Caenorhabditis elegans: one gene and its partner. The protein of the gene in region 1 interacts with the protein of each later gene in a pairwise test. Each region holds a gene or a part of one and is shown in the gene's direction. Other genes may lie near its edges.

The links. Proteins that work in one complex are often made in the same cells at the same time.
Region 2: the proteins of sta-1 (region 1) and sptl-3 interact in a two-hybrid assay, tested with the Caenorhabditis elegans proteins (one large-scale study listed by BioGRID).

Annotation. Positions count from the first base shown.
Region 1 is NC_003282.8:16,661,086-16,672,623, forward strand, and holds sta-1 (Signal transducer and activator of transcription 1), read left to right. Parts: upstream 1-3,234; 5' UTR 3,235-3,236; coding exon 3,237-3,545; intron 3,546-3,641; exon of another isoform or gene 3,642-3,662; intron 3,663-3,917; exon of another isoform or gene 3,918-3,938; intron 3,939-4,021; exon of another isoform or gene 4,022-4,042; intron 4,043-4,124; exon of another isoform or gene 4,125-4,141; coding exon 4,142-4,486; intron 4,487-4,499; exon of another isoform or gene 4,500-4,520; intron 4,521-4,682; exon of another isoform or gene 4,683-4,703; intron 4,704-4,878; coding exon 4,879-5,006; intron 5,007-5,129; exon of another isoform or gene 5,130-5,150; intron 5,151-5,170; coding exon 5,171-5,408; intron 5,409-5,436; exon of another isoform or gene 5,437-5,457; intron 5,458-5,576; exon of another isoform or gene 5,577-5,597; intron 5,598-5,783; coding exon 5,784-6,430; coding exon of another isoform or gene 6,431-6,467; intron 6,468-6,577; exon of another isoform or gene 6,578-6,598; intron 6,599-6,643; exon of another isoform or gene 6,644-6,664; intron 6,665-6,845; exon of another isoform or gene 6,846-6,866; intron 6,867-6,903; exon of another isoform or gene 6,904-6,924; intron 6,925-7,119; exon of another isoform or gene 7,120-7,141; intron 7,142-7,329; and 27 more. UniProt on the Caenorhabditis elegans protein: Carries out a dual function: signal transduction and activation of transcription. Activated STAT proteins play a role in repression of dauer formation.
Region 2 is NC_003283.11:13,889,672-13,896,626, forward strand, and holds sptl-3 (Serine palmitoyltransferase 3), read left to right. Parts: upstream 1-3,653; coding exon 3,654-3,670; intron 3,671-3,731; coding exon 3,732-3,782; intron 3,783-3,828; coding exon 3,829-4,015; intron 4,016-4,192; coding exon 4,193-4,347; intron 4,348-4,676; coding exon 4,677-4,822; intron 4,823-4,907; coding exon 4,908-5,232; intron 5,233-5,276; coding exon 5,277-5,496; intron 5,497-5,675; coding exon 5,676-5,771; intron 5,772-5,890; coding exon 5,891-6,057; intron 6,058-6,116; coding exon 6,117-6,246; intron 6,247-6,293; coding exon 6,294-6,365; downstream 6,366-6,955. Other genes in the region: spp-12 (Saposin B-type domain-containing protein), read left to right, coding at 259-387, 433-624; lbp-8 (Fatty acid-binding protein homolog 8), read left to right, coding at 1,115-1,327, 1,392-1,592. UniProt on the Caenorhabditis elegans protein: Component of the serine palmitoyltransferase (SPT) that catalyzes the first committed step in sphingolipid biosynthesis, which is the condensation of an acyl-CoA species and L-serine.

The DNA of each region.
Region 1 (11,538 bases):
TACTGCCTGCCTTTAGGCCCAAAATTCAGCCAATATAGAGGCTGGAAGGCATACCTGTAGTTTAATTGGTCCCGTCAAGTATCAAAATATGTAAAACGAGTTTCATTTATGAAAACTTGCTGAAACCGTAAAAATTTACAATTACTTCCACAAATTGTATATTGTTAAATTCCACACAGAAGCCAGTTCTTATTAATTTGAAGCAAATTTTAAAAATATAGAATGCTATTTAGAAACAGTAAAAAATTTCGAATTTTCACAAAAAATAAAAAACATGATTCTTGTGATTCTTTGCTGCAGAAAAAAACGAAAAATTACTAAACCCCATGTATTTTCTCAGGACCTTGAAACATTAGCTGATTTTTCAAAAACTCAGAAAAAAATCGAGGTTCGAGATGATTCACTTGCCTTTTTCTACGTGTACGTCAGGGCTTCCAGGCAGGCGCAGTTTCAGTGCCTGCCTGAAACCTGCTCGCCTAACGCCGGCCTTTTACCTATTTCATGCGTTTTGGTTTGATTCAATTTTTTTGAAAATCAAATTAAGAAATTAAAAAAAAAAGAGTTTTCATATGTTTCAGCATAAGGTGCAGGTTGAGGCAAGAGGCAGGCGTAGGCCACCTTAAGGTCAGGCAGGCAGACGTTTTGACGCCTACATGGAATTTCTTTGCCGAATTTAAAATTTTAGTTTACTGAACAAAAAATGTACTGTTTCACGTATTCCATGAATTTCCATATTTTGAAAACGTGATATTAGGACACATCCCAGCCTGTCTTACTATTAGCCACCGAAAAACGTAAATTTATGTCTTTGGAATACCAATTTATATGTTTCTAATTTGAAACAAAATACTTCTTCGAAGTGTTACAAAATTGAAAAATGAATTCTTAACATGAAAAGAAGTCACAGCACGGCCGAGAATTTATTCGATTAACATTAACAATCTGAAACAGTCAATTTTTTTTGTCCAATTTTCTAAAACTTAAAGTTTTAACACTTTAGTAAGAGAAAAGTCAATCTGAAAATGAAAACTGCATTTCTGTCCTCCACTAATTGTTAGCTGGGAATTCTCTCTGAAATTCCTGATTTTAGTATCAGAATCTATTTGTCGATAGTGGTAAATCAATAACCCGATCAAAATATGCAAAACGAGTTTAAAATTTAATAACTTGTTGAAACAGTCAAAATTTCGCTAATTTAAAACGAGTAAAGATTCTGTATTAATTTAAAGCAAAAAAAAAAACAATTTGAAAATATTAAAAACCAGTTAGAAACAGTAAATTTTTTATTTCTCATGACCATGAAACATAAGCACATTTTCCAAGTTGGAATGCTCTGTAAAACGAAATAATTGATAGAAAAATTTCAATTTATATCTAACTGTAAATGACCCTTATTAGGATGTAATACAGAAGGATAATCGATAACAATTCATTTTCCATATTGAATATGAGTAACCTGAAACAGTAAACTTTTCATCCAACTTTCTGTAAATTTTGCTGTGCCTTTTGTGTTATTTCAATTAAAAATTGCCATTGATACTTGACTTATCTGAAACAAGATACATTTTTTCTAAAAATTTGAACTTGTAAGTCTTATAAGCTCTATTAATTACCTAGTTTGAACAAAAAACGAAACTTCAGCTCACTAACTAGTGAAATCGAACTTCGAAGTAATGTTTGACAATTTTTGCTTTCCGACAATAGCAGCATTAAACTTGAAAAAAATTTAAATATTGAGAAACATTATTCGATTCATATGTAAGCAATCTGAAACAATATATATGTTTTCTAAAATATTATACTACCTTCATTTTCAACACTGTATTACCCCATTTTATACATTCAGACAATATCAGTAATCTGAAACAGTATTGTTTTCTTCTCAAGTTTGAAATCTTTAAGGTTCCATATAGAAATAGCCCCAGTATAATTTTTTTTTCAATTTCTTTTTCCCGGTATATTCAGATTACTTGTCAGATTGTTATAAAATTTCCAGACTCTAAGCCAATTTTAAAACACGCAAAATTATTTCAGCTTGGCCGAAAAAAAATTAAAAAAAACTAAATTTTCGGTTTCAACACCACATTTTATAATCCTCAAAATGCTAGAACAGTAGTGAGAAATAATAATAGAACTTCATACACTCAGAATAAAAAACTGGAATAAATCTAGCAACGTATAAATAAAATGTTGGTATTTTTAAAGACAACTTGAAACAGTGGAAAAATGTTAAAATTTTCCAAAATTTCCGTCAAATCGTCGTTCACCCAAAATTTGAAAATTTTCCAGATTTTTCAAATTGTTTTCCAATAAAAAATATTTGAATAAAAACCACAAAAACATACATACTTTCGAACATTTTTAGAACATTTGAACAGTAATTTGTCGCGTCGAGACCCGATACAGTAATTTTCGCGCAAAATTTCACGGTTGGGTAATACAAGTAGAACCTTAAATGTTCATGTTCAGCTCATTTTATAATAACTTGAAAAAACCACTACTGTTTCAAAATTAATTTGAACGATTTTTTTTTTGAAAAAAAAAACATATTTTTCTCTAATCCCTCAATAATATCTCCATTTTTTTCCGTCCCCCCAATCATCACAGATATCAGCTGAGACAGGGGAAAAGTGGTGTGAAAACACACAAGTCTCTGCGTCTAGCGGTGTGTAACACTGTCTGCGTCTCTGTGCTCTCTTTGATACTCTCTCCCGTGTGTGTGTGTGCTCCTGGAGCTCTTATACATTTCCAAGTGTTTCTGCTCTCTGCATCTCTTGCCCATTTTCCGCTTTTTTGAGCCAACAACTTCTCATTAGTTTTTTCCTTCGAGTTCTTGTGCAGAGCCACGGCTCTTTCAACAACTCGCACAAATTGAAAGTTTTCGCAATTTTTTCTTGCATTGCACGTACATATTTTCTTTTTTTTTTTCATAATTATTGATGAAAATGAATATGTTTTGTCAAGCGAATATGCTACATTGAAAGTTTTCAGAAACAGTGAAAAATCAAATTGAAATTAACAAAATCTTTCAAAATTTAATCACTTATTTGAAACAGTAAAAAATTTTTTAAAGTATACGTCGATTCTGAAAATACACTGAAAATGAAATAAAATTCTTGAAACTGTAAAAAAATTTTTAACCAATTTTTTTTCACAAATTTTTCTTTGAAAACGTTTCCTTTTTATTACCTCCTTGTCTTCCCATTCCCTTCATTAAAAATCTGAAATTTCCAGACATGATGGGCTCATCGTCGCAAGAGCTTCAAACAGCTCTAACCGACGTCTCAAAGACCTGCCATCACTTGTGGGAAGAGAATAAGGACCTCCAAGGCAGATTTGTGAATGAACTCGGCGAGCTTCAACGTCTGCAAATGGTCATTGCACAGCTGGAACAGCAACAGAGACTAGAAAATGTATTCACTGTGAAACAGCAAATGACAGAGTTACAGAAAAGAGCAGCCACACTTTATGAGCATTTGACACAGAAAAGAAATGATATTGTCATTAAACTTAATGATGGCACCAATTTTGCGACGATGCTACAGGTTGGTTCTTCTAATGTGAAAAAATATGAAAAAAACATAAAAAAAATTTTACTGTTTCAAAGTTTTGTGAAATATGAATTAAAATTTTTTACTTTACTTGACTGTCGAAGACCATTTCCATTAAAAAACTCTAATACAAGATTTACTTTTTTGAAAAATCCTTCAAATTTTGAAGAATTTTGCATGTTCAGTAAATTCATGCTAAAAATATTTTTATTCTTTTAATGTTTCAAGTGAATGTTTTGTTTAAAAAAAGCATTAAGAAATCTTTTAATATGAAATTACATCAAAAATGAACTGAAATACAAAAATTAATTAAAAATTTAATGTTTCCCATGCATTTCATATATTGAACGCGCGAAAATGTCATACTTTAAAACTGGCCTGCAATCTAGCTCTCTTATCTGAAAAAAAGTTAGTTATAATATTTACAGTTTCACACTTTTATCAAATTTAATCTTTTTTTTCCTTTTACATTGATTTTGCATAAAATTTGACAATTTTTTTTAAAGAGAAATATTTTTAAAAAAATACTGTTTCACAGTTTAATCAAATTTTCTATGCGTTGCAATATTTTAATCAATCTTCATTTCCAGACCCAACTAATTGGCGAAAAGCTGTTCTCCTGGAAAAATGCCCAAAAACTTGCCCAAATCGGAATGCCTTTCGATAATCGCGAACAGCTGCTTGATGAAATTCAAATTGAATTCGAATTTCTCGCTGATCAAAACTGGCAGCTTAACATGTTCTCGTGTTGGATGCTCGACTTGCTCCGACGTGCTCCACAGTTAAATGATGGGCTCGCTCAGGCAACAATTGGAAAGTTGACTGCAATTACAGAACAATTGAACAAATTACTTTTTATGCTGGTTTCACAGAGTTTTATTGTTTCCGTTCAACCGGAACCTGTTTTGAAGACTCAACATAAATTTGTCACTGAGGTTTGTTTTTTAATGGAAATTATACATGTCAAATTTTGGTGGGTCCCGCCGCGAAAACCACACCGTCGTGACGAGACCCAACTTAGTTAGAATTCAAGCAAATTATAAGAAACAATAAAAAAAAATTCAAAAATTTTAATTAAAACTTTACCGTTTCAAAAGTCATTCAAATAAATATGTAAGTCATACTCAACAATTTTATTTAAGAAGTTCAATTCGAATATAATGTGTGCCACGCATTTGTTCAGCTTGAAAATTTCTGGGTCCCACCACAAAAACTACAGTTCCACCCCACCTAATTTTACGGGTTACTGTAGTTTCCGCTGTGGGACGCAGCAATTTCAGAATCCTGATTTTTCAATAAAATTACAAAAAAAAACTAAAATTTCCAGGTCCGTCTTCTCATTGGCGATAAGCTGGGAATTCGTCAACACCTGGTGAACACAAATGTTTCAGTGAAAATTATAGCAGAAGATGAAGCCAAGCAGTTGAGTGTTGACTATGATGCACATAAGGAAATGTGAGTTTTTTTTAATGAAAAATTTGAAACAGTAAATTTTTGAAAAATTGAGAAAATTTTTTTTTCTAAAACTTATACTTTTTCGTATTATTTTTATATACTTTTCTTATTTTTTGTGGTTAATTTGTAGTTGTATCACTATATTCAACACTAATATTTTTCAGCCGTAACAACAAGACAGTTGGCACAATTTCCAATGATTTCGAGAAGCTCACAATGAATGAAAGAGGACACTTGGCGGCAAAATTCAATAATTCAAAATTGACAAGAATTGCACACAGAAAACCGCCCCCAAAAGGAGCATCTGACTTGAAATGTGCAGCAAGTATGCAGGCAGCTACTGATCAGAAATATGCTCTTTTATTCTTTATTACACCTTTTCAAATGGGTAATTTGAGCAAAGTAAGTTGTTGATATTTCAATTATGACTTGATTTTTTTTGAACGTAGTCAGTAACTCAAACTCAAATGCAAAATCTTTTAAAAACAACGTGAAACAGCAAAACATTTATTTTTTATTTTTTCACTGTTTCAACAAAAAGTTTAAAATTTATTTCAAAATTTGAGTCTGATAAACGAACAATGGTTGAACCAAACATTTCCAACATTTCTTTCGGTTTTCACTTTGAATTACTGAAATTTTCTAACTGGATTAGTAAAAGCAGTAATTCTATATTCAAAAAAGTGTAAAGAAACTTGAGAATTTTCACTGTTTCAGCTACTCTTAATTTTCAAAATTTAATATGTCCTCCAATTTCTATCAATTAAAATTTAACAGGAAGAACAATTCGACGTTTGGACACTTTCTCTTCCAATAATGGTTACAGTACACGGATCTCAAGACTGTGACGCGCAAGTTGCAATTCTCTGGCACCGCGCATTCGCCTCAATCAGCAGAAATCCAAATACAACTGATGTGACAGCTGTGACATGGGACAATCTAGCAATAATGCTTCGAAACAAGTTCTCCTTATTCACGGGAGCACGTCGTCCACTTTCAGATTCAGATTTGGCATATTTAAGTGAGAAAATGTTAATGCCAAATGTGGCAGATCAGAAGCCAATCACATTTCATCGATTCGCAAAACAGGCAATGAGAGATGACTTACCATTCTCATTTTGGGAATGGTTTTTCTCAATAATGCAATTAATCAAACAAAAACTGCTCAAATTCTGGGATGAGGGATGGTGCATTGGATTTATTTCAAAAAATGATGCGTCTCAAAGTATGATGATGTGTCAGCACTCTTCATTTTTATTGAGATTCTCTGACAGTCAAACTGGTGCTGTATCGATTGGTTTTGTTTGTGAAGAGGCTGATGGACAAAAGATTCCATTTCATTTGGCACCTTTTACTATTAAGGATTTGGATCAATTGTCACTGGCAAGTCGTATTGCTTCATGTCCACAATTGAAGGATATTCGGTTAGTTTTAGACGCGAAAAGTTTACCATGTTGTTAAGTATGCTTAGTTACGGTCAAAAATGGAAATGTTTAAAAAAAATTGGAAAAATGAAAAAAATTATACTGTTTCACTAAATATTTTATGTGGTTAAGAAATTGGACAAAAAATAAAAAGTTCAAAAATACTACTTTTTCATTGAAGAATCATAAATAGCCTCAATTGCAATAGTTTGATATTTCTGTAACCACGAAAGTGAATTGAATTTTCACGCGATTACTGGGACGTAAGTATCGTACCTGCCTACGTACCTGCCTACCGCCTATTTTCTGCGCCCTGGCGGGAAATTATGTGATCTATGTTCTCACCGTCCAAAAAAAAAAAAACTTCAACTGTTTCACTTAAGAATTATATAAGTTGTTCCTTCTTTTTTTAATGTTAAGAAAATACTCCTTCATCTTTTCTAATTATTATAATTTGATTAAACTCTTTTCAATCAGTGATCAATTTAAACAAAAAATGTTAAAATTAAAGTCAGAAGTGCCAAATAAAAAAAAAGGGTAAATAAAAGTTAATTTTAGGAGTGAAAACTTAACAAGATGTTAAGTTTGTTCAGTTACAGTAAAAAATAAGTGTGAAGAAAATTGAAAAAATGAAAAAAAATTATACTGTTTCACTAAATACTTTTATCATTTGGTTTGAAGTTATTGCATTCTTATTGCATTCTCTTTCATAACAACAATTTTCGGGTCTTACCACGTTTTGAAACCTTTGAATTTCAAAATTTTGCTATGAAAACTGGCACATTTAAACAAAACAAATATTTTTTATGTGGTTAAGAAATTGGAAAAATTTGAGAAAAAGTTCAAATTTTCTACTGTTTCATTGAATAATCATAAATAGCTTCAATTGCAATCGTTTGATATTTCTAATCTTTGTGAATCACCCTGAAAAATATATATAAATAATGTTCACATTTTTCACATTCACATCAGTACTAAGAAATACACCTTCTTGCCTTGTGCTTACCTACCTACCACCTATTTTCTGCGGCCCGGCTGGAAATTATGTGATTTATGATTTCACCGTTCAGGCTGAAGCACTTTTGATAATATTTCTGAACGTGGATATAAATTATGTCAGCAGTTATTTTGAACAAAATTAACAAAAATTTGAAAAAAAACTTCAACTGTTTCACTTAAGAATTATAAAAGTTGTCCCTTCTTTTGTTAATGTTGCAATTCCGAAATACTTATTACAACAAATGCATCATTATAATTTGATCTAAATCTTTTGAAACTGTGATCATTTTACAAAAATATTCAAATGAAAGTTAAAATTGCCAATTTAAATAAAATACAGGAATTTAAAAAAATTTTTTTTTTTTCTATTGTTTCACTAAATAATTTTATATGGTTTTTTTCATTGAACGATATTGAAAATGGCATCAATTGTATAATTGTTAAATACACTTTTCTCCGTACTTTTTAGGTCTCATCACCATCTCGATACTGTGATTTTTAATAATTTATTATAAGAACTGTCAGCACAGCAGTTTTGAACAAAAAGTTTCATTTCCAAATATTTCATTTTTCTACTGTTTCATTGAATAATTATTAAAAACATCAGTCCCATTTTTCTGATATATTTTTTAAAAATATTTTTTGGATCCAATTAGTAAACATCATGAAAGTACATGAAATGTTAACATGAACACTTTCTATAACTGGACACCTCCTGCCTGCCTACCTACTTGCCTACCGCCTATTTTCCGTTTTTACTCCAACTGTAATTTTTTGAATTTTCTCGTTATAGGCAAAAGTGGGTTACAAATGACACTTTTTAAAATTGGATAATAACGGTGTGAAAATAGAATGAATGCAGAAACATGCGCTCGTGAATAATAACTAACTGAAACTGGGTGGAATTTTTACTAAAATAAAATCCGGAAATTGTGAAAACTGCACGGAGTAACTCAAAAAACTAATCGTTTTTATAAAAATTCTAAGGCAAAAAAGTTAGCCTGTCTGCCTACGGTGTAATTCTTCAAGAAAGTCAAATTTTGAAATTAGTGAATTAAAAAAAAATTATGCTGTTTCAGGTTGTTGATAAATTATCGGTTAATTTCTAACATCAGTAAACATCTCACATCTGGTCGAAAGTTTGAAAATATTAGATACAATCGATGTAAGGGCTGCTATGTTGGGCCGAAAATTACTGTTTGACTATAGGCAAGCTACGCCTGACGTGTGCCTTCTACCAGGGGAAGAATGTGTTTCATTTCTTTGCCATTAAATTAATTGAAATAATAACACTTACATTTAAATTTTCGGCTTAGTTGAAACAATGGTAGGCAGCAATGTAGGCAGAACGACTTGCCTACCTACAGCTTCAACAAGGCCTTAGCGCCTACTTAGAAAGCCTGATGAATTTAAAGCAATTTATTTTGGAAAAATGCCAAAGCATGTTTCAAGTTGTTCATTTTTCAAAGTCTAATATTCAAAAATATTAGTGAATCACTCAGTTTTTTTTTGAAAAAAAAACAAGGTCTCGCAACGGTTTATAATTCTTATTTTACTTTGAAAAATAACCGCCAGCCTATTAAAAATACGAATTAAAAAAAAACGCAAAATGAAAATATTTTTCTGTTTCACTGAAAAGAGATAAGATCATGGCTTAGAATTCGGACAATGCCTCTTCAAAAAATGACAAAAAATGTTTCAAATTGTCTATTTGTAAATCATGTTTCTGAAAAATTTAAATTTTTCCAGAAGTCGCAGATTTTAGAGTCGAGACCCAATTTTTAAGGTTTGACAAAACATTGACTTGAGCTGTAATCTCTCAAAATACATTGTAGACATGTAAAATGTGAAAATGTTTCTACCAATAGAAATTGAAATTAGAAAACAACAATTTTTCTCACAAATTCTTGAAACAGTGAAAAATTTTTTATTTCAACCGAGTTAATTAAGGTAGCAACACATAACTAACAGCGTTCCTCTTAACTTACAAATTTTGAAACATGAAATAAAAACCTCTAAATTTCAGATACATGTACCCGGCAATCGATAAAGAAGAAATGCTGCGTTTCTTCGAGTCCGAGGAGCGTCATCGCGTGGGCGGTGGTGACAGTCCAACTGGATATATTCAAAGTGAAATTGTCATGGTTGCAAAAACAAATGGGTAGGTTACAGATGGAAAGTTTAGAAATTCGGTTTATTTTAGGAATTTCAGACGAATGTCCAATGCACCGTCCATGTTTGGTGCAGATTCTCCGTCACCGTTGTCGGTTCAAAGCAAATTGGATTGGTCACCCGGGGAGGTTCATCAGAATCATATGATGGAGATGTGAGTGATGTGTTCAAAAAGTTTATGCGTTCGGGGGGAATCGAACCCCCGTCGAATGCTTGGAAGGCATCCATGCTGACCATTACACCACGAACGCGGCGAGAAGTCGCTTTCTCAGTGGCCGTTATCAAACTAATGACATCTCATCTAAAGTGACATTCGATAAAGAAATTTCCAAAAATTACAAAATGCGCTCCAATGCTAATTCCACTGTTTTTTCCAGGTCCGACGAACTTGGTCAAATCCTAACAGTCTCGGATATGTCGGGAGATGTAGAAACTCTATTGGGACCAGCATTCAAGAATAATATCACAAACTACAATCCACACGATGGAAATCATCAGCATAACCTTCATTTTGTGGATATGTCCCAACAGGGAATGATGCAACAGCACCACAATCAATTTTATCCCTCATAAAACACTATTTAAATGTTAAAACAGTCCCCCCAATTACCTCTTTTTGAATTTCTCTGTCTCCAGTTTAGTATTCATATCTTTGCTTCTTTCGTGCTGTCCATCTTCCTCAATTCTTTGATAATCTAATATTATTTTGACAATATTTACTGAAAATAATATTAATAATCACAAGTGATTTCTGATCTCATCCAATAAATTATTTTACTGTAAATCGAATGTTTTGATCTGTTCCACGATGGAGACAGGAAGCTAGAAAGTTTCATATAAGCACGTGATTCTAACCAAAAAAAAAAAATTAATTTTACTGTTTCAGGAAAATGTTATCAGTAAATGCAATTTCTAAATATCGATGGGGATCAAGAGCACGATCATAATTTAAACTGTAGGAGATGAAACTGGAGAAGTCGTGGAATTGAGATGAAAGAAAATAGAATAGAACTATTGTCTTCTCACTAAAGGAAAACTGAATTTTCAGACAAACATAACAGAAAACATGACATGTTCAATAACTTTTTCAAATATCTGTAAATGGCAAATCAAGCCCCGGGGATCAATTTCAGTTCTCTGCTCTAAAATATTTTCATATCATTTACGTTTTGCAGCATGGAGATTTAAAAAAAAGTAATGAAAACTATTGTCAGTTTTGAATGAAAATCATATATGTACTGTATAAAATTGCTGAAGTTTTGGATAATTATTAAAAAAATTCAAGACTCTTCAAGTTTATTTTCAAAATGTTGAAGAACTCTCTATCAGTCGATTTTAGATTTCAGTTATTTTCTCAAAGATATTGTGAGTTGAACGCATTCAAACACATACAAAAATATACAACTGTTATTAAAAACTCAAAGAAAATGTAGTTTTATAAAACTTTTAATTTTGAATAAGAAATTTCTATAAATGCATGTGAATTGATTGAATTAAATATCTAATTAAATTTTCAAACATTCTAGGCAAAGCTGTAAACGACAAAATCACGAAAGCATTAGTAGCTCAAATGTATTGTGAATAAAAACCTGTTGAAACAGTGGAAAATTTTTTGAAAAATTGTTTTCTTGAGTTGGAAAATTTGTGTAGCTCCTATTGCGTATATTCTCTATACGTATTTTGAAATTTCCCAAGCCACTTTCTTTTTATTCCCTACCTTTTTCCAGCTTCTCCCTTTTGTAAATGAGCTCGGCGAGCTTCAACGTTAATCACTTATTTGAAACAGTAAAAAATTTCTTAAAGTATACGTCGATTCTGAAAATACACTGAAAATGAAATAAAATTCTTGAAACTGTAAAATTTTTTTTTTTAAACCAATTTTTTTTCACAAATTTTTCTTTGAAAACGTTTCCTTTTTATTACCTCCTTGTCTTCCC
Region 2 (6,955 bases), on another chromosome or scaffold:
TGTCAAATGGATAATTGTTTTCTTGTTTTTTATAGTTGTGTGAAAAAAACCCTATGACATCATGGAGCCTACAAAAACAGGTTACAGAAACATGGTAACATTAAAAAAAATATTCTGGACGTTGAAACAGTCAATATATGATGTCCTGGATGGTTGTAGCCTACTTAGACTCCATCTCCCCCGGATCACTCTCTTATCATTACGGAACTTGCATTCGTATAAAAATTTTCCTAAATACTTATTTTCACTGCACTCATAATGTTTAGTAAAACAGTTGTTGTACTTCTAATGGTTGTGCCCGCAATCTCACTTGCGCAGCCAGCTTCACCACTGGTACTCAAGAAATCTCACGGAGCATTTTGTCATCTATGCGAGGACCTCATTAAGGTGAGTCGCAACTTTCAGTTAGAAAAATATATATTCTGTTTTCAGGATGGCAAGGAAGCTGGAGATGTTGCTCTCGATGTCTGGCTTGATGAGGAAATCGGATCCCGCTGCAAAGATTTTGGAGTGTTAGCGTCGGAGTGCTTTAAGGAGTTGAAAGTGGCTGAGCATGACATCTGGGAAGCTATTGATCAAGAGATTCCAGAGGATAAAACTTGCAAAGAAGCCAAACTCTGTTGATTTTCATATTCAATAAACCTTGTGAATATTAATGTTGATTTTGTAGGAAATTTTAAAAAAGCGAGTGAGACCAATTAAATAACAAGATTTTAAAACTGAAAATTTTTGCTGGAAATGTAATTTCAACAATGTTTTTATTGTTTGTTAATTGTGGAAGGTAGGGTAACTCATCTACGTTTTCGAATATTCAAATCAAAATTAAACTTTAAATTATAAAATTACCATTTTATCTTGTTAAATTACACTTCTATGCTCAAATCTTCAGGTTTTTAACTGAAATGTTTTTGCTGGTTTATGACATTATTAACCAAAATTTGCAGTTGTCTTCCACTTTTGATCACTGTTTGTGTTTTATGTCTGACCTGTGCTCTTTCCTTACAAAATCATCGCATTTTGCTACAGATAATGTCACTGTAATTGATAAATAGAAGCTATTTAAGCCACCCTGAGAAGTTCAGAATTAACAACTCAATTAATTCAGTCCTTCCTTATGGTTTCCATGAAAGAGTTTATTGGACGATGGAAACTAGTCCATTCGGAAAACTTTGAAGAATACCTGAAAGAAATCGGAGTTGGTCTTCTTATTCGTAAAGCTGCATCTTTAACAAGTCCGACATTGGAAATTAAACTAGATGGTGACACTTGGCATTTCAATCAATACTCCACGTTTAAAAACAACAAGCTCGCTTTCAAAATTAGAGAGGTAAATTTAGTTTTATGATTATAAAATGTTGTTTTGTCGGTTTTTAATGTAGATTCCGTTGCAGAAATTTGTTGAAATTGCTCCGGATGAGCGATCCTACAACACTTTGGTTACATTCGAAAATGGAAAGTTTATCAGCCATCAAGACAAAATAAAAGAAAACCACCACAGCTCTGTTTTCACAACTTGGCTCGAAAACGGAAAACTGTTGCAAACGTATCAATCTGGGAGCGTCATTTGTCGTAGAGAGTTTGTCAAAGAATAATCTATAAGGGATAACAAATTTGTTAAATAGAAGTTTCATTGATATTAATAAAAATTACAAGTCTCAAATTGATTTTTTTCAATCAATAAATTTTTGATCGCAGACCTTGATTAATTTCAGCTGCTTCCTTAACATGACAAAGTATTTTTTGCTCTAAAAATAAAAATCGTACTACGAGTAGTATCAAATGTTTCACAAAAGTTTAAAAAAGAGATGGTGTCGTTGCTTTGTGAGCCTGAGCATTTTTTGGGAACTAGATTTTTTATTTTATGCAATCAGCTTTCAATGATGTTGTTAAAGTTGAAAAAATAACTCATCATGAAGACTTTTTATTATTAATTTAACATGTTTTTATTTTTCTGATAATAGTTATTTTCCATGACAACATGCCGTTGAAGGGTGGTAGATCTATGAACTTTGATAAAGAACTCAATCACCCCACTTGTTTATCAGATGTTTCAACATTCAACAATAATAACTGTATTAATAATAAACTGTGATAAATTCTGCGGATAATAGTTTTTGTTGAATTTTTTTCACACATTTGTTTCAAGTTAAACTAACTATTTCAGTTATGATAACGCTGATTTTCATTCAATTTCGTGGAAATGCATTTATAGACATAATCTACTGATAAGTCATTTAATTTGCCGAATGTCTTTCAGTGACCAAACTAAATGCATAAGAGTTATACGTTTTTATTTGAGTTATCATATGCCAAAATTTTCATGAGTGTCACTGTGGTTATTTTTGCCCTTTTCTTTGGTTTTGTATGATTATTGAGATGCTCTGCTTAATGATGATTTTTATCCGGCTACCCTGAAAGTAATATATGTTTGCCTTGTTCCTACACGCTTACCTAGTATTAAAATACATGTAAAAATATGCCTGCCTATGCATCATATCTGGGTATTCAATTTATGTATATTATGGATTTTTTCAAATTTTCTTGTTTAATGCTGTAAACTTGGTTGTGTGAAAAAACAGACAACTGGTTTTTTGTCCTGAAATTCCCATTGCAACCTCATTTTCTTCATATTGTACGTGAATATATCGGAGGAATTCAAAAATGTGAAATTGTTCTTGATATCAGTTTGTGGCTATAATGAATTTTTTCGTTGGAAGCAGAAGTGTGTGTGTGTGTTTTTTTTTTTCGTATGGAATTTTGCATTACCTGTCAATCAAAAAGAACAAAGGTTTATGAGCAGCAGGAAATTTCACTGCAGATTGCTTTTTATCACTGTCTTGTTGAATCGAGAACTGATAATAGGAATTATCAACTTTAACAGTTCATCTTCTTTTGTTTTTGGAAAAAAGTTCTTAGCGTCCTACCTACGAAATCATAAAAAGGAATGTTTGTGTTAATAATAAATTAAACAGTTTGCAGTTTCAGTTGCATGTAAAAATGTGTAATATGACATCAGAATAGCAACAGTCGATACACGTGAACATGAATCATGCCATATTTTCTGTTTTCTCTACTCTGTTCTCCGTCTCGTCATTGTAGCCACCAAGAATACGTTTCCCTCTTCTCGTTGTACTTTGCGCTTCTTACCCGGCCACCACTTTTTTCTCCTTTATCACTGATTACTTTGATTGATAAATATCATCTCTCTTATTCTAACCCTTGGTGTCCCTTTCGTGTTGCGGCCCTCCCTTCAATCCCGCCTTGCAAAATCCCGGGAAAGTGCGCTCTACCGCAATTCTGCAGTTTTTTGACCCACGGAAGGGGGTTATTGCATGTTAGAGTGTTTGATGGTGTGATAATCTTATTTTTCCAAAATTTGGCGAGAAAAAACCTAAATCAAACATTAAAAAAATTTAATGATTTTTTGTGAGCAACGAAACAAAATAAATCGATATACTTATTTTATTACTGTTTTAATATAAATTCTCACGTTATTTTTTAAATAATTTTTCGACCAGAAAATTTTGATTAACTGAATATTATTACTTCGTGGCCCCGGAACGTGGTGTCCGATCAATAAAACAAATGGTGTCTATATTTCTTTGTGTCTCTTTGGGTGTCTTCTCTCTAAATACAATTGATTTGCACAAAAAATGTCTTCGTGTTTCGTGTAATTTACTCTTTTTTTTTAAATATTTTCTATTATAAGTGCTCACTGTTTGATATTTCAGGTTCTACAACATGGGTGGAACCCAAAATGGGAAAGCCGTGGCAAATGGAAAGTGAGTTTTCCCAATTTTCAAAAGTTTATAGCAAATATTTTTTTAGGGCAAAAAACGGAAACATTACGGAAAAAGTCATCAAGTTGGATCCATGTCCAAAGCCAGCGTTCTACGTATTTTGGCTTGTCCAATTGAATATTACAATGATGCTTGTAGGAGCAATGGTTGCCACTTTATTCGATAAATGGGGAATTGTGAAGACAAAACGATCAAAAGGAGACCCCAGAATGGAGGTTTGTATATCGATTTTTTCTGGTTTGAAACAAAAAATTCTGCGTTAGTGTTGGTCTTTGCCTTCCGGTCTGCACAATTGATAAGGTCATAAGAATGCGGAAATCATCAAAGTGGTTGCGAAAATGCACATAAAATGTTATCAGTCACAGTCTGATTCATTATATAAACCTTTTTAGAGCTTTCAACCACTTGGAAACAGTTTCGATGCCACGTACACAGATCATATCTATCGACAATCGACGGATGTTGTTAATCGGCCAATTAGTGGAGTTCCTGGAGCAATTGTTAGACTGAAAGATAGATATACTGACGATCATGGATGGACACAAAAGTTAGTAATTGAACGTGCATCACAGTTGGAATACATTTTTTGGTCGTAAATTTTCGAATTTAAAAATTGGAAAAGACACCAATTTTCGAAAAATATAAAATGTGAGACAGTAAGAAAAAGTTCAATTTTATCTGATTGCAAGATTAAAACAGTCACACCAAATCTTAAAATGAGAACAATTTTGTGAAATAATGTCTTTCTGATTTTTTAAAATTGTTACCAATTGGCGGAGCTTCAAATCAAAAAGTTTGCAGTATAAACACAGACACACAAATTCTGATTGCATTTTAGTACTGAAGAAGTATATAACTGCTAATAAAAATTTCCAGATACACGGGTACTGAATCAGAAGTGATCAACCTAGGATCTTACAATTATCTCGGCTTCTCGCATCGATCTGGAGTATGTGCCGAGGCAGCTGCTGCTCATATTGACAAGTATGGAATTAATTGTGGTGGATCTCGACAGGAAATTGGTAAATTTTTAAAATTGTATTTATTTCGCTGAAATTGCTCCGATAAATACTGATTACCGTTGTCTAAACATCTTTCACATTCCAGGTAACCACGTTGCACACAAATCAGTTGAAAGTACAATTGCCCAATATCTGAACGTCGAAGATGCGATTGTTTTCCCGATGGGATTTGCCACGAACTCAATGAATATTCCATCACTTGTTGATAAAGGATCGTTGATTCTTTCTGATCGCCTTAATCATGCTTCATTGGTTACTGGATGCAGACTCTCCGGAGCACATACAGTGGTTTTTCGTCACAACGATGCGAGTGATTGTGAACGAAAACTGCGGGACGCGTTGTGTGGAGTTAGCCCAAAAACTGGGGAAAAATACAATAAAGTGCTCATTATTATTGAAGGCATTTATAGGTTTGCAACTACTTAGTTAAAAATCTTAACTATTTCTGTTTTAGTATGGAAGGAACAATTGTCAACTTGCCAGCATTCATTGCTGTCAAAAAGAAGTACAATTGTTATCTGTTCCTTGATGAAGCACACAGTATCGGCGCCGTAGGGCCTAGTGGAAGAGGAGTTGCCGAGTATTGGGGATGCAATCCAAGAGATATTGATATTATGATGGGTACTCTCACGAAATCATTTGCATCGGCTGGAGGATATATGGGAGGATCAAAGGTTTGTAATTGACAGTTTTGAAAAATTACGAGCTTGTTCCAATAAGGAAACGTGTTAAAAAAGTTCTTCAAACTTTTCCAAACGTTTGAAAAGTTTTTTTATAGCGTACCCGACATCAATCGCGCAGAAACTCCATAAAAGTATAAAAATTGTTTTTTATTTATTTATTAATATTTCAGAAAGTCATCGATCACATTCGTCGATACTCTGCTGGAACTTGCTACGGAGTTACAATGTCTCCACCACTTATTGCTCAAGTCGAGAGAGCAGTTTTGGTATGTTATAACCTATATGAAAATATCAATTTTGGCAACCTTTCTTGAGAAATTCTCGGAAAAAAATAGTTCAAAAATTGTGACTTCCTACTTTTCATCATAACTTTTTGTAATTTCAGATCATGTCTGGAAAAGATGGTACAGATATTGGCCGACAGAAAGCAATTCAACTACTCGAAAATTCTCGATACTTCAGAAAAGAGCTTCGTAAACGAGGATTTTTGGTGTATGGAAACAATGATAGTCCAGTTGTTCCATTAATGACGTTTTATATTACAAAAGTTGTGTAAGTTCTTTTTTAATTTAATTTTGTTTTGAGTCTCTTCACCCAATGTTTAATTTTAGTGAATTTTCGCGAAGAATGTTGAAACATAATATTGGAATTGTTGCCGTTGGATATCCGGCAACTCCACTTTTGGAAGCACGTGTTCGGTTCTGTTTGAGTGCCGATCACACGAAAGAGCATCTTGATTATGTGAGTTTTGAGTGTGAGAGTTCTATAAAATTACCAACTACTTTCAGATTCTTGAAGCTGTAGAACAAGTTGGTATGGAAACAGGTACATTTTACGGGACGAAAATCGTCGACGAGTAACATTTTCTAGGAGTATTTATTAACTATCCTCGTTATTTGTCAGTTCTTCCCTGTTTCACTTCTACATATATATTCCCATTACCCCAATTCTTGCCCTTTGAATAATTTTTTTTCTGACTTTTATTTTTTATCTACCAAAAACTATCGAATTCCTAGGATCTTCTTCTTATATAAATTTAAATTTTCTCTTTTTCTATTTGTTTGTTTTATGTATTTTCCCATTGTTTTTTACACTTATTTCTTTCTAGGCAAACAATTTTCATGACATTTCCCACCAATTCTGCCTTCCTCCAACGCCATGCAAGGCAAACTTGAAAAACAGTTTTGAATGTATTGATTATTCACAACAACATAAAATTTAATAAAAATTATAAATTTTGATCATGTTTGAATCTTTTGGCAACATACTTCTAAAAAGCACAGTTTTATAAAAGAAATCGAACAGTTTTAAGGCATTTTTCAATGAAAAGGTTATCAGTTATCTATAGGATGACAATCCCCACAATTAAAACTATATGTCCATCATCATCATTAGCCATACAGTACTTTTATCAGGTTCTCAAATGAATTAACTATATCAGCAAACCATC